Solanum lycopersicum: one gene and its partner. The protein of the gene in region 1 interacts with the protein of each later gene in a pairwise test. Links are inferred from orthologs where the notes say so. Each region holds a gene or a part of one and is shown in the gene's direction. Other genes may lie near its edges.

Region 1 (8,791 bases):
TTTGGATCATTATAATATACATGAAACGAAACAACTTCAACAGGAAAATATAATGTCAATTTCTTGGGTGGACAAATAGAACTATGAAGTGAAATTCTAACAGTTCCAAATTTCAATAGTTTTGTTAACTTTTGAAAGCCTAGTCAAACAATCTGAGTGCTGTAGAAAAAGAAGTTCTGATTGGAGCATCTCGAGATCTTCAGGTTGTCATTTTCGGACGATGAAGGATTGATGTTTCAATTGTAAGGTTGGAGAAGTATATTTCAGGTTTATAACTAAATAACTCTGCATAGAATGAAACTTTAGGACTAGCAGCATAGTCGCAAATGTTACCAGGTGCCCCAGTAGGAGGGAAGGAATGACAAATGTCAGAAGACCGGCTTCCAACTTTCCATAGCAAAGTCCTGTTCCAAGATAACAAAAATAAACTCAGAGATCCTTAAATGAACGGAGACCGGAGTGTTCTACAGAAAGTGGAAGTTAAGAGAAGTATAATTTGTTAGATATGAATTATCTATCATAACCGAAAATGATAACTACAGCTAAGGGACAATCAGTAAGTTCCTTTATTCTGAAAATCAGTATACATTTTGTTACATCTCCAAAACCTCAACTTGCAAACAAAAATTACTATCTCTACTAGCCAAATGTGGTATCTAAAATGAGTTCCCATTTGATAATACTGTGATGTGGTAGGTGAAATTGTAACTGCATGTTTATAAAGATGTAACTGGAACCTAACCTTCCTTGAACACAAGTCCTGTCAATGATGCAAATAGTGGTCCGACAAACCAAACAGCTATTGGATTCTCGATAACATATTGAACTAGATTCATGCCAGCTGGGTGAGCAAGGGTAGAATATGTTGCCAATGATCCGATAGCACCGAGGAACCATAAAGCTTGAAGAGAGCGTTTAATTTCAGTCACATAAATGTGAATAAGAAATAATGACAGGCCAAGTCCACACGATCCAATTGCATAAAACAAATCAAGGTTTTTCTCAATCAAGTTACTCGTAACTGAATCATTGGGAAGCAAAGCCACAGAAGACGCAAGAACGAATGAAGCAGCCGCAGTTACTAATCCTGATCTGTACAAAATTACCTGCAAAGTTGATAACATTAACTTTGCATCATCGAGAGTTCGCCATCTTGATTGTTGCAAGAAGAAAATTTTTGTTTTATCTAACAAAATTCATTCAGGCAGGGGACATAGTAACAAAGACAAAACTGAAAAGAATTAATGAACATGAAGGGAGAATCTTTTGTTCATTAACATTGTCAAAAAGAATGCAAACCGATTTCAGTGTATTAGATTGCTAATATTAGCATCCTTCCTTTAGAAATATAGTAAGCATAAATATATTATTGTAGGAGCACAAAGTGCCAGAAACCTTCAATTAAATTTAAGCTATGCTGCATACATTTCTCTTCAACAGTGTTGTGCAACGAATTCAAATGCAACATCTCTAGGTTAAACTAATATATAAACAGCATGGCACAACAGGGTGGAGTTGGTTTTACCTCTCGAATATCAGAGTCTTCGATTGTCCAAGGGCCATAAACGCCTTGATAAATTGTAGGTTGGATCGTCTGGGACTGTGTCTCTGGCTGAGAGCCTTCTCCCAGAGCCCTGCACTTGCAGTCAAAATTGGACGATATTAGGGGTTTGCATTTGCCTAGCTGAAATTTAGACCGCGCTTTTCTAGTAGGAGGCGAGATGCTAAGTGAAAGTGAAATGTATGCTGATGCCGATGCTGTTACTGAATTCATGCTCCCTGGCTAGCTGTTGTCGATCAATGAACTCAAAAACTGTTTCCCCTTGTTCATCTACTCCTGTTAAACCCACAAGTCAAGTAAATGAGAATGTGTAAATGTTATGCATAAGACAAACGAATTCTACATTTACAAAAATATATCCACAAGAACAAAATCTTACAGCCATACTTAGCATCAGGAATGACTACCCATTCCTCAATCCAATAAATCAAAAAGTGATAGCAAAGGAAAACACAACAACAACTTACGCTGTATAATCCCACAAGTGGAGTATTTTGTGTACGCAGACCTTACCCGAGAGGCTATTTTGAAAATGAAACTTAGTTATATTACTAAAAACAACGCAAAACAGTAGTGAAGAAATTTCATGTCATTAAATGAGGACTATACCTTTGTATTTCCTCCTCCTTTTATGCCTAAAAAATACAAAAAATTAAACACCTTGACCATTTTTGTAGCTTAATCCTTGTTATACACCGATTCTTTCAGCCAAAGTTTTGAACAACGCATAATCTAAAAATTTACTTTAAAAAATGACTTCATTCAGGAAATTTATCAAACACATAGGATACAAATAGTTTAATCATAAGAGTCAATAATATCCAATTCTTAGCTAATAGAAGAGAACTCACCTGAAAAATTAGCTAATAGAAAAGGACTCACCGGAAAAATTAGCTAATAGAAAATGACTCACCGGAAAAATCATGGCTAAAATTGGACAATTTTGGTCGATGAACAAGAATGCAAAGGCTGGTAGTGGTGGATACACGTGGAACTGATCCAACAAGGTTTTTGTTGATACTACTAGAATATTCCCTACGGTTAAGCAAATTTAAGATAATCATAAAATCACTATTTTATATAAATATTATTTAAGATAATCGTACCACAACTTTATAAATTAGTTACATGGTTTGATTTCGAGTTTATGTAATTAATCACGTTTATATATGTATTATTTGTTAAAATATACAAATGCATATGTATAATATACAATTATTCAACCATCATATACAATTCACATCTCTCCCACTCTTTTCCCTCTCTCGCTCTCCTCTCTCGTCTCTCTCACAATCTCGCTCGCCTCTCTTCTCCCTCTTGCTATCTCACTTGTCATATATACAAATTCATATGTATAAGACATATTATTATTTAACCAATATACATATACAATTCAAATTTCTCTCATTCTGTCCTCTCTCGCTCGTCTCTCTCTCAATCTCGCTCGTCTCTCTCCTGCCTCTCTCAATCTCGCTAATTTAGTGGCTATACGTCAAAGTTTCCTTTTAAAAAATCAATACTTTGTATTAAGGGGAAAGACTCAAATATGTCATTGAACTTTCAGAAAAGACACATTTATTCCATCAGTTAAAAGTTTGACTCATTTATATCATTACTATTTAAAAAAAGGCTCATTCATGCCATTATTTTTTAATAATGATTTTGCAAAATCATTCACGTGATCAATTATAATTCGGTCACGTCATAAATTTTTTTAATAAAGAAAATTTTTAAAAAATTAATTCAATTTTTATTCAGAATTTTAATTTGTTTATTTTAAAAAATTTATGACGTGGCCAATTATAATTCGGCCACGTCATCAATTTTTTAAACAAAAAAAAATCTAGTTCAATTTTTTTTCTTCATAATTATGATTTTTTTATTTAAAAAATTGATGACATAGCCGAATTACAATTGGCCACGTGTCAAAATGGTTTTGCAAAATCACTGTTAAAAAATAATGGCATGAATTAACCTTTTCTTGAACGGTAATGACATAGATGAGTCAAACTTTAAACGGATGACATAAATAAGTTTTTTCTAAAAATTCAATGGCATATTTGAGTTTTTTTATTCTTGTATTAATAATAATAATAATTATAATATATTGTTTGGTATTACCTTGCGTCTCTAATTTCACCCCCTTTTCTATTGAAACCGTCAATAAGGTGAATACTTGGTTGTTTATGCGATTATTAGTAATGAAGATTGGTTTGCGAGTATTAATATAATACTAAAGAGATTATTGTTATAGATAATTACATACCTTAAACGAGTAGTTTTCATCTTTAGATATTTCATTCTGTGTAGAATAATGTATTTATTTTTACATAATTTATATAAATATTTTTTAAGATAATCGTAAAATCACTATTTTATAATTCTAAGTCGATTCTTTTCAATGCATTCAATCAAACACTATGTTCGTAAAAAAAAGTCAGGTGCTGAATCGAGAAAAGACACATGAAGGAAGTGGCAGCTCAGGTTTGACTTAATGACACTGAATATATTCTCAACGGTGATGAAAAGAAATAACCTTGTTCCAAGACATTCCAAGTTCACTACACTTATACATCCACAAGCCCGCCTAGCTCTAGAGCGTCGAGATTTGACATCGGACCATACCTAAATATGATAAGCATGAAGCCCAACCACTATCGAAAGATTCGCGATACTCCTCCTCCAAAAATTGCATAACAATTGCAGACGTGAGTCAAGGAGAGTCTACGTGAAGGTTGTGTTCTACAAAAGTTGCTCTATTAAGCTTTGTCATTCATTGTTTTGTTCATTATCAACAACATCAAACTTGCCCGATGCCGCAACCAAATTCTAGTACCAGACCTCGAGGTGTTTCTATTCAATTACTTTACTGTTTAATTTCATTTTATATTACACTCGTTATTCATTCATATTGATTAAAACAAGTTATTTTCTCCCTAAATTACGCATTCTCGGTCATCTCAGTCTGTATATACTCGAGTCACGTCAATAAATTTAAATTTACCATTTTTATCTCAAGCGAAATTTTATGCAGAGATTAGTTATTCGAATACATAACTAAAACACAATCCCTAAAGATCAAAACAAAAGAATTCACATGTACCCGGGAACGACGTCGTAATAATGAGCTGAGTACGTAGGGTTGGCGTGAGCTCTACTGTATTGGCAATTTCACCTGAAAGTTCCCATTTCCAAACCCTAACCTCCGTTTCTGTGCGAAGTAGAAGCAGTGAGAAAGAGAAAAATGGCAATTTCAGGAGATTTTAGGGTCTCCGCTACATTGGTTCCATACCCAAAGAATCCACTTCGGACCTCTTTACCTCCTTCAAAGGTTTGACTTTTCATAGATTAACAAATTCATGTTTTTTATACGATTTTAAGTGAATTGTTTGTTGGGAATTTGTTAAGTTGTTAACTTTATGGGAATGTTAGCTTCATCCAATCATTTCGCCAAATCTAAGAGATTGTGTTACTGTAATTTTTGAGGAAATTTCTATAGCTTTTCTTGGGTACCTTTTTTTAAAATTTGGTGATATGGGTCTACATTTGTTTACAAGTAGTTGTGATTTGTGAATGAAGTGAGCATCATGAGGTTTCAGATTGAAATCCCAGCAGAAATGAAAAAAACTAGGTGATTTCTTCTCATTTGTTCTAGCATGGGTGGATAGAGTTACTTGGATTCCTGTTGCTGTTGGGAGGTGTACAATGTACTCTTTTATAGTCAAAGATTCGTTTTTTTCTCCTCGGTTTTGAATGTAGAGTTCTAAGATTGAGAAACTTTCAGAATTGGAGGGCTTAAGTGCTAGGTGTCTTGTGTTTTTTAAAAGATGAGTAAGTGCTTGGTAACTATGTGAATTAGCTGTTTCCACCTACTGCTGATTAAGCTAAGTGGGAAAAGTAGCTAGGGCTAGTATGGACTATGGTTGATGGAGTTTGGAAATAGGTGAGAAGCATCATCTGAGTAATGTCTAGCTTATTGATCAGGGCTCTATTTAAGGATGTGTTTGGAGCTTCTGGGACTTGTTAGGTGAAGGATTTTCTTGCTAATTCTCTTTTGGCATGCGTGAACAGGAGTTGATCAACAGTGAAGGCAGGGATCATGAGTCCCAATGCCTTTGCTTGAGGTCTATATGTACACACACACACATGTTGAAACTTTTTTAGAAGTATTTTTACAGTCAATTGAGCATATTTTGTTACAAAAAAAAAGTAGTGAGCTTAGAGGTACTCCACACCCCTGGCTTATGATTCTGGACCTGCTTTTGTGACGGAAGCTTGGGTAATGGTCCCATGTTGTTGGTGTGTGTGTATTAGGAAAGTTCCTGTATGGTTATTGATGACTAAATTAATTTAGTTTTTTTTCCCGCTTTAAATAAGAGTTGATGGACATAATCTTAATCACCACTTTTCTTCTGGCTTACTTCATTTACATGTGAAGAAAATGAACTTAGGGTCTATGCGACCTCAAAAGCTAGCTATGAGATGAGGATTGTGCTAGACTGTGTACGGAGAAAACATACCATTCCCTCAAATATGGGACGGCTCCACCCCCATGCTCATACACACCCACCCACCCACCAACCCAGACCGAACTGGACATTTGGTGTGTAGAGAACATAACATGGGCGTCCATTGGGTAAACTAAGAACAGTGATGAGTTTGGTTGTGATGAACCTTGGGCTTAATTCAACATGAAAAGGTACCTCATGAGGTAAGGATTGTCCAAGACTATGTGAGGAGATAACAACCCATTAACTCAGGCTCAACCAATGTTCTAGTGGAAGAGAGTGTTTCCCACTGAATTGCTTGGACATTCACTACACTTTTTCCTTCTTTCTTGAGATGATGGCTTTTCTGTTAGGACTTAGGACACAGTAAAGTTTTCAAAATTATCTCAATGCATTGATTCGTTTGAGCTTATGTTGTTTGGAACTTTGGTTGTTTTTTCCCTTAACAGTTAACATTTTCTACGTGAATTTGGTGCCTTAACTCCGACTAATTTACATCTGCTCATGTTAGCATAGCACTAATTTACACCTGTTCATGTTAGCATAGCCACATTTTTTTAGTAATTTGATTTATAGGCATGTAGTTATTGCACAGATGGTAATGCCATTGGTGCATAGCCTTTCCAAAAACATGCACCATTGACATTATCAGACTTAAATATGTACTTGTGGTCTTGTTGCTTGAGACCTCTTCAATAACGCCTAATATGGTTCCTATAATTGCAATGAGGACTGAGTGGTTGACACTTCTAATACCGAATATTTGTGTCGCGGCATATTAGAGAAGCTGGCTAGGTCCTATTTAAAAGAAAAGGCTAGACTAATTGGTGCCTACTTGGTCTTCGTCTCTTTTGCCGAGATGGTTGAATTAGTTAACTGGGCCCTAAATGTGATTCACAGTTCAACTGGTCTTCTTCATTCTGCCTGGTACCAGGTCGATATGTGCTCAAAAGTTGCTTCCTTGATTTCTAGTTTTAGTTCAATTTTGTCTTCCTTTTTTCCCTCTTTGGATCTTAGAGCCTAGCTAAATGTGAGATGTTGTGTCCAAGCTGGATCAGATGTGCTCAAGGTGTAAAATATTCATGGTCATACATTTGCATCAATTGGGTCCATGTGTGCGTCTCTGTAAAAAGTACTTTGAACTCTTAACTCATCAGTGGATATGCTTGTGCAATATGTTTATTCATTGATTCACCTGGATTTATCGTTTGCTTCAAATGCTGAACTATATTTTTTTTCCTTGATAGATGAAGAAGCAATAAAATGGTTATGTTTACTTATTCCCCAACGAAAAACTTTTGCCGATATCCTTTTAAGTGCGTTCTCTATATCTTTTGAATCCTAGCACTTTCAAAGATTGGGTTATTGGTAAACCATGCTTGAATGTAGATTTTTAATATTTGCATCTCTACTTGTGCTTTTTACTAAAGCTGTGTCAGAAAAATTGTAAGCATTGGGAAATAATGGTTCCTACAAGCTGTGCAATATGTAGGAAAGCGTGTGCGTCCTAGCATCTTGTAAACAATTTCATAAAATGTGCCTAAATTTTTGTGTTGTGTTTTCCCATTGTTTGTATCATGACCACAATGAAAGATAATTTTCTTTCACATTGCAGGTAGATTTTAGTGCCTTTCTTAATGGTGGATCTAGTTCCTCTGAGGTGTTGCCCAAATGGTCTCGTCTATCATCTGATAGCCATAGCTTCCGATGCCACTCAAGAAAGCCTCTTGGGATTCTTGGAGACTATAAAGTAGCAGCAAGTTCCATCAGCCAGGAATTTGATAATTTACTCCTCAATGCTATCAGCATGAGCTTTTTTGAGCGCCTAAGCTTGGCTTGGAAGATAATGTTTCCACCATCCCCTTCGGCAAGTAATTCTGCTGCTAATGTTGCTAAGCAACGCCTGAGGATGATTCTCTTCTCTGATAGATGTGCTGTCAGTGATGAGGCCAAACAGAAGATTGTAAGCAACGTCGTTAGTGCTCTCTCTGATTTTGTGGAAATAGAATCGCAGGAGAAAGTACAGCTGAGCGTCTCAACGGATCCAGACCTAGGGACAATCTACTCTGTCACAGTGCCAGTCAGACGGGTGAGATCAGAATACCAGGTAGAGGATCCAACTGGGACAATAACAAATGTTGAGTACAAAGACACTGGAGATAATTCTGGTTCAGTTGATGTCAAGTTCGACTTTTACATTCCAGACGAGAATTTCAATGACTATGGTATGTGAAACCTGTACATGCCTTTGCCTAACCGGAAAGTGGGTTGAAATGTCTTGTTTGTCTGGCATTTGATAAATTCTTTTCACCTTTTTAAACATACTTAGTAGGTGTTACGATCAACTTAGACTGCTGTAAATACCTGAAAATCCCTTTTGGGAGTGTTCGATGAATTTGCTAGTATTGGTTACAATCCAAGACACTTTTGTAACAATTCGTTATATGTAACCATTGTTTTTAGGCAAGTGTGTATCTTCAATGCATTTTTTTTGTGTTTGTAAAAGAGTATTTCTGTTTGCAGGAAAGATATATCGGAAAAAGTTGGTTATCGAGATGAGATAGATAAGGATATATCACCTTCTATATGAGATATAAAATGGTTTTCGGGATTAATCAATATTCATAACCAAATGCAAAGATAATACATTTTTGGTTGGTATTTTTCTTATTATACATAGAGAAAGCTAAAGAAGCATTACCTATATTGTATACTAATTTAT
Region 2 (7,450 bases), on another chromosome or scaffold:
TAGTCCTCTAGTAACGTAAATTCATTTGTTAATGAGTGAGTTAGCATACAATTCCTGTCATAGTGACTATGACACTAAAGAAAACCCTAATTTCACAAAATTGGGATCATATAAGATCCCTAAATCAGAAATTGACTTCATCAGATCAAAAGTTCAACCAAAAGCTACACAAATCAATAATTCCAATTAAATTCAGTTTATATCCAAATCACAATCCGTATATAAACTTCACTAATCCAATTCCGACCCACATACAAAAACCTCAACTTTCAACAAAATCAATCACTTCCGCACACAATTAACATCAGATCAAGAACACCCAGAATCCAAATCAGAAAGAAAAACAAAACCAACCCATAAAAATCAAATCTTTCAGATCTCAGTCAAACACAAAGCTCTAAATATCAAGAAAAAACAAACCTTCGAGAGAAAATGGCCACAGGAAAAACTCTCCCAGCGAAAGTCAACTAGCAATAAAAGAGTATAAAAGATCTATAGATCTAAATCGCAAAAGAGAACACAGAAAAATTGGTGTCCAAAGAAAATTTAGAGATAAAAAGAGAGAGAGAAGATAATATAATAACCAAACTGATCACATGAATTTGCCGGTTTGGAAGAGACGGGGATGTGTAGGAGAAGGAAGGGTAAAATCGTCAATTTGATTATCTAGTTGTGAGACACGTGGAAGTCTAGAACTTTGAGTGATGAAGGACACTTGGAATGAACGGTTCAGATTGTGTTGTAGTGGGGGAACCATGAAAATGGAGAAATTTGCGCCGCTTGATCTGAATGAATTTTGTTTTTCTATTAAAAGGAGTTTGCTTTTGCTTTTTCTTGTTGATAAATAAGGAGTTTGTTTTTGTTTTTGTTTTTGTTTTGAGAAAAAGAAAAAGAAAAAAGAGGAGGAAAATAGGGTTATTAGTTGGAGTAGATTAGGGAATCAAAGATTGTATGGTTAGAAGTGGATGGTTGGTTATAATTGGATGAGTTCATTCACTATGTCGTCACATGCTAAAAGCATGAAGCAAAGATGATAGGTTATGTGTTCTCATAATTTGGATAAAAATCGATTTAAAATAATTAAATAAATTAATTTTATTTGAATTGATTTGATTTTACATTTATATATACATAATATGGTTTTTGTATAAACAATTTTAATTGTCTTATATATATTTTCGTTGAACATTTGTTTATTACTTCCTCCGTTCATAATTGTTTGTCAGGTTAAGGTCATGCACTCCTCTCAAATAAAATTTAATACAAAGTATAATTTGACTAATATAACCCTACTATAGCAAGAATATCAAAAGTCTACAAACTTTTCAATTGAACAAAATGAAGTAATTATTAAGGGCGGAATTAGAAAAAAATGACTAATTATTTCTTAATTGGTTAAATTGACAATAATCTTGGATATCTATTTTCAGTATATCACTTTTTTACCCTTTCAAGTTAGTCCTTTATTAACAGTGAAGAAACTAAAATCAAAATAAAAGGAAAGCAAATAGATACATTACCTATATATATATATATATATATATATATATATATATATATATATATATATATATATGATGGATTATTATATATCATATACACAATATAGATACATTACCTATACAAATAGCCATTTTATTGAAGTTACAATTATCATATTTTTAAAGTAACAATAACCCTTTTTACTTTGTACTTCATTTAATTTTATATATAACCAAATTATGTTGACTCCTAAAACTTTAGAATAAAAGTTTAGGACCACTAGCTGAAGATGTTAGTGCTCACTTGGGCAATTGCATAAGCATTTGGACTTTTAGAACCTCTTTGGGTCGCTGGCTTCCAAAAGGATTATATGATAACTCAATTAAAATTGTAAATAATAAGAAGGGAAACTCTCGCATATATTCATTTAAAAATAGCTTAATTATGCTCTATGCTATAATTTGATAATTTTGATTCGTAGCTATATGTTATAGGGAGGAAAGTGACAAGCAAGATTGGGAAAGGAGGGAGAGGCGAGCGAGGACAGAGAATGGGAGAGAGATGAATCGTATATGTAATCGATTAGATAATCGTATATATGTAACTGGTATACATATGTAGTTTTATATCTAGTGAGCGATATTGGGAGAGGGAGGAGAGAGGCGAGCAAGAGAGGACAATTATTTGTATAATTCACATCTCGTTTGTATAATTCACAGGTATGTTTGTACAATTCACGTATTTTTATATAATTGAGTAATACAAGTATGAAATTATACAAATATATGAAACTCAAAATAAAGAATTGATACAAACATAAACATATGAACTGTAAACATTTATTCAAATTATCATACATAATCCAAAAACTACACAGTTATACAAACTTTAAAAAGTTATTGTAAAAAGATTGAATATATATGGTGATAAAACTGAAACCCAAGAAAATCATCGTCATATACAAATACAAACTATCGTATACAAATATAAATCAAATGAAAAATTGTTACTTACGAATTATACAAACACGATTAGTTATACAAACTCAAAATCAACCCAAATAATATGATTAATGTTAGTCGCAAGTGACAATTATAACAAAGTATAATTATGATAACTAATTAAGTAGTATAATTTTTTTTAACCGTATATTCATAATAAGAAAATTTAAAACAATTGGTTGGTTTGAACGGAACCCACATGGAACTAGGTAAGACTGAGTACAAATAGTTAAACAATGACAGAATGACTCGAGAGAATATTGTACTTGATTTTGTTTATCAGTTAAATCCTTTTACTTACCACTTTTTCAATTGAATCATTAGATTAGTTATAACACTATTTTAAACCTTTTTTTTTTACTTTGTCATCTTATATGATTTATTTAAAGGGCATATGATACATAAGTCTATTAGGTCATTCTACTTAGAAAAATTAAATGAGACACATAAAAATGTGTTGTTTCTAGGATAACACACACTAGCCAAACAAATAAATTCGAATAATTGCACGATACGACATTTTTAACTATCTATAACCTTTTATTTCCTACACCATCTTTATACTCTTAGGAGGTAAAGGGTAACACTCATAGCTATAGATACCAGTCAAAACCTACATCATTAACTTCCTCATTTTCACTCTTCTACATACACAAATGACTCATTCATATATGTCTTATCTAAAATAATAATAAACACAAATAACCACAAAAAGAAAAAGAGGAATTAAGAGCATTAGGATCTTGTATCAATCTATTCAATTTTGAAGTATATTGATTCAACTTATTGATAATTGTCAATTTAATCATTAAAATTTTTATTGGAAGTCATTTAGAAACAAATTGACAAACAAATAAATCATAAATTTGAATTGACATGTTATTTCTTGCTCAAAAGCAAAAATTGATACAAGGTAGCATGGTTGACACTCAACGGTTAAAGACAAACAGAAATTGAAGTATGAAATTTAACCCTGATTTCATACACCCAATGATATAAAGATAATTTATTATCAATTAACCGTTAAAAATCAAAAATTTAATATCAAAAAAATTAAAAACCGCCATCAAAACTAATAAATCAATAACATTTTTTTTTTTACTCTGGGTTATCAATTTCGATTCGGATTAAAACAATTTAACTCCTAGCTGCAAGAAAGATATCTTACCTTTTTCACTTCCAGAGCCGTCTTCTTCTCCTTTCTGCTAAGCGACATCGAAACATGTTCTTGTGAAATTTCCTCTCTTTCACTCAAATACAACTCTCGTTCTTCTACACAAAAATGTTATCTCTGCAGCCGCTCAACCCTAAACCTTCCTCTCTCTACTCTTCCACCTTTACCCCTCCCAATTCCTTGTCTCCCAAAACCCTAAAACCCATTCCGGCCTTCAGGCCTTCTAGAAACTTCTACCCTTCCATCCATTCTATGCTCCAGTACAACCGCAAGCCTCAACTCGCCGGAGATACGCCGAGAGTCGTCGTCATTACATCCGGCAAAGGCGGCGTCGGGAAGACCACTACCACCGCCAACATCGGTCTTTCATTAGCTAGGCTCGGCTTCTCTGTCGTCGCCATTGATTGCGATGTTGGTCTCCGCAACCTTGACCTCCTCCTGGGCTTAGAAAACCGGGTGAATTATACTGTTGTCGAGGTTCTCAACGGTGATTGCAGACTTGATCAGGCTCTTGTACGTGATAAGCGGTGGTCCAATTTCGAGCTGCTGTGTATTTCCAAGCCCAGATCCAAATTGCCGATAGGGTTTGGTGGGAAAGCTTTGGTTTGGCTTGTGGATGCCCTAAAAGCTCGTGATGAAGGTGGTCCGGATTTCATCATCATTGATTGTCCAGCCGGCATTGATGCTGGGTTCATCACGGCTATAACTCCGGCAAATGAGGCTGTACTAGTGACAACGCCAGATATTACCAGCTTAAGAGACGCTGATAGAGTGACAGGATTGTTAGAATGTGATGGAATTAGGGATATTAAGATGATTGTGAACAGGGTTCGGACTGATATGATAAAAGGGGAAGATATGATGTCTGTATTGGATGTGCAGGAAATGCTAGGGCTTCCATTGTTGGGGGTAATACCTGAGGATTCAGAAGTTATTAGAAGTACTAACAGAGGTTATCCCCTTGTGTTGAACAAGCCACCAGCTTTGGCAGGTCTGGCATTTGAGCAAGCAGCTTGGAGGTTGGTGGAGCAAGATAGTATGGAGACTGTAATGATGGAGGAGGAGCCAAAGAAACGTGGATTTTTCTCATTTTTTGGACGATAGCGTAATGATTCTCTTCTTAGTAGTGGCTTTGGTAAGCTTTCTGTAATTGTTTGATTGTGTTTTTTGGAAGGTACTGTTGACACAAGAAAACTGTGTATAGTAGAGAGTTAAACGCTTGCATTCTTCCTTTATTACTATTCAAGATTCTGTTTGTAGGATAGTTGAAGATTAGTGCAACTGTTTTGTTTTTGTTGGATTTGAGCTGAAAACTGTCATGTGCTTCTGTGATTTTTCCTCCTCTCTTCCAATCTAAATTTGAGTTACTTACTCTCACTTTCAGTCCACTCTGTGATCTCCACTCTGTAGCCTTACTTGCTTACTATGCATGTACTTAAATCAGTGCTCACAAATAGATTTTCTATAAGTTTCCCTCAGCAGTGGTAAATTTAGATATTTGTGGGTGTAAAATACCTGTATTAGTGAGAGAATTATGTAGTCTCTTTGCAGACAGCTCATTAGATGTTGATATGCACAGTGCCTCAATCGAAATGGAACCTGTTTGAACTACCATAAGCATTGAATAGAATTGATTACAGTGCACAACAATATTGTACAAGGCAAAAAGCCCCTGCTCTACAAAAAGAAGCCAATCATGTGATTGGTGATCATTTTTTTGCCAAGACAAATACTTCTATTAAAAATTTGGATCTCCTTAACCTAGCAATTAATCAACAGTAGAGGACCTACAACACTATGATTCTCTATAAAGGACGAGCTATCATCTGTAGTCATAAATGCACCAACAAGAAACTAGAAATTAGGGGATATACTTTGAGTGTGAATAGCCATCCTCTAAACATTCGAAAGTTCTCTTATATCCTTCACAAGATCCACATGATTGCAGTCCATAAAGGGAGGAACTGTACTGCTACCAATATGCATAGTCAAGAATCAAGATGATCAGTGATGCTGGGAGGTGAACTGATAGGGATCAAGAAATACTATTGGGGTGCAACTCAGTACTTTCTTTCTCCATGCCTTCTGCATCATTGACCAGGTCTGTTCCCAGAGTGGTGAATTTGCTGCAGTAGAGAAAGCAATCAATGGATGCAAACATCTCAAGCAGTTGAACATTATGATCTTCATATCTGCATGACGAGATCATCTATCATGAGGTCAGGCTTGCCGCCATATATTTAGTGCAGATGAATGCGCACAATTCTAGGAACCTTCGCTTCAAATTTAGCCAATTATATGTAAAGGCTATTAACATCTTGAGTTTGCTGCCAGTCTCGTGATGCAGTATATTATAGTAATCTGTGCTGCAATTCAATTAGTAGTTTACGACCCACTGAAGTTATGTCTCCTGAAAAAAAAGATGTCCAATTCAAATCTCATAAATAAGGAGCGTAAAATTTGTGTACTTTTTTTACAATTACTATTACTGTCTTTGTTTTCATGTTTCCCTTTTGGTCGATCTAGTGAAGAATGATCTCCTTAGACAATGGACTAATGTTATACAAGGGTTTCCAGTCATGGAAATCAGAATGTTCACCTGCTCCTAGGGTCATGATGACAGTTTCATGATCGGGATCCTTGGATATCTGAACAACCAGCATTTCCAACACCTGTATCTGTTTAGTCAAACACCGTTAAGAGATGGGGTTTAACCAAGATGAAACACAAGTTGACTTGTGCAGTACTATAATTGATGTGGTATACTTAGAACAACGACGATAGATATACAGTTAATTAGAGAAAGAGAAGTTCCTCTGTTTCACACCAACGCATTTCACAAAGAGAAATTCTTTTATTCATTAGAGACCTAAGAATAGGAACTCCGTATTTTGTGAAATTAGACTTGATTATTTTTATGTTCAAAACATTTGCCACTACAAGGACATCAGAGCAAAATTTCAGGCAACTCCAACATCTACAACTGTGAGGAAGTTTTCTGTTCCGGCATACCAGGGAAGGGACAAACTCAGATGGTGGGCCAACTATAGATGCTGCAAGATCGCGTCCATTGATCTTCCACAGATTTGTTTCTCTGGCTTCATAAATCTTGCAGCAGAAACAAATTACATCTCCTTAGCCAAGACAGAAAAGGGGGACAAATATATTAACTTAAGCAGTTTTAACATCGGAATTCAAAAATGGGGCTAAACCTCTGTTATCACAACCCTGTCCGCATTAGTGAATGCAATAGCAAAGTCGTCTTTCAATGCTGCTAAACGACTGCAAATTATGAAAAATTCAAGCATTGTGCAATCAATGTAATTGTAATTTGGAAGGAGAATACTCTTGCAAATACCTGCATGTATGAGGCTGAAATATTACTACAAGTTCTTGAAATGGAAACCTCTGGCGTGCTGCTTGAAGAGTAGCTTGAATCTCGGTGGGATGATGAGCATAGTCATCATATATATGGCACCCACGGACTGTACCTATCCTCTCAAAACGTCTAGAAACACCTTCAAAATTTTGCAAGCGTAATTTCAAAGAAGCAATGGAACTGAGAAAGTTTTTCTCATCCGTAGAAAGAGCATTGATTGTTGCAATGACCTGCCGGTTGGAATATCCAAAGCAACAGAACTCAACAAAATATGTCTTTACTAGCAGTGGGGAAATGAAACAACTTAGCAAGCTGAACCGTGTTTTCTTCAATTACAGATGTCTAAACTATGATATAATCACGAGCAGCCAATAAAATAATTTTCCAGTTTTGGCCCCGTTGATGTATGAACAA

What was found. The genes of interacting proteins can lie anywhere in the genome.
Region 2: the proteins of cell division topological specificity factor homolog, chloroplastic (region 1) and septum site-determining protein minD homolog, chloroplastic interact in binary tests that used the Arabidopsis thaliana proteins (3 or more experiments, as listed by UniProt). The link is inferred for Solanum lycopersicum from reciprocal best matches to the Arabidopsis thaliana genes MINE1 and MIND.

What each region holds. Positions count from the first base shown.
Region 1 is NC_090804.1:6,241,523-6,250,313, forward strand, and holds cell division topological specificity factor homolog, chloroplastic, read left to right. Parts: upstream 1-4,506; 5' UTR 4,507-4,805; coding exon 4,806-4,892; intron 4,893-7,684; coding exon 7,685-8,302; 3' UTR 8,303-8,536; downstream 8,537-8,791. Other genes in the region: uncharacterized protein, read right to left, coding at 334-404, 743-1,106, 1,526-1,774. UniProt on the Arabidopsis thaliana protein: Acts as a topological specificity factor during plastid division and specify plastid constriction sites (such as the Z-ring) in a MCD1-dependent manner. Especially involved in epidermal plastids division in a FTSZ1-dependent manner.
Region 2 is NC_090802.1:3,325,220-3,332,669, reverse strand, and holds septum site-determining protein minD homolog, chloroplastic, read left to right. Parts: upstream 1-3,765; coding exon 3,766-4,761; 3' UTR 4,762-4,989; downstream 4,990-7,450. Other genes in the region: uncharacterized protein, read right to left, coding at 6,454-6,765, 6,870-6,939, 7,016-7,266. UniProt on the Arabidopsis thaliana protein: Together with ARC3 and MCD1, regulates FtsZ ring positioning in chloroplasts in an ARC6-dependent manner. Calcium-dependent ATPase required for the correct placement of the plastid division site. Inhibits FtsZ filament and ring formation in the plastid.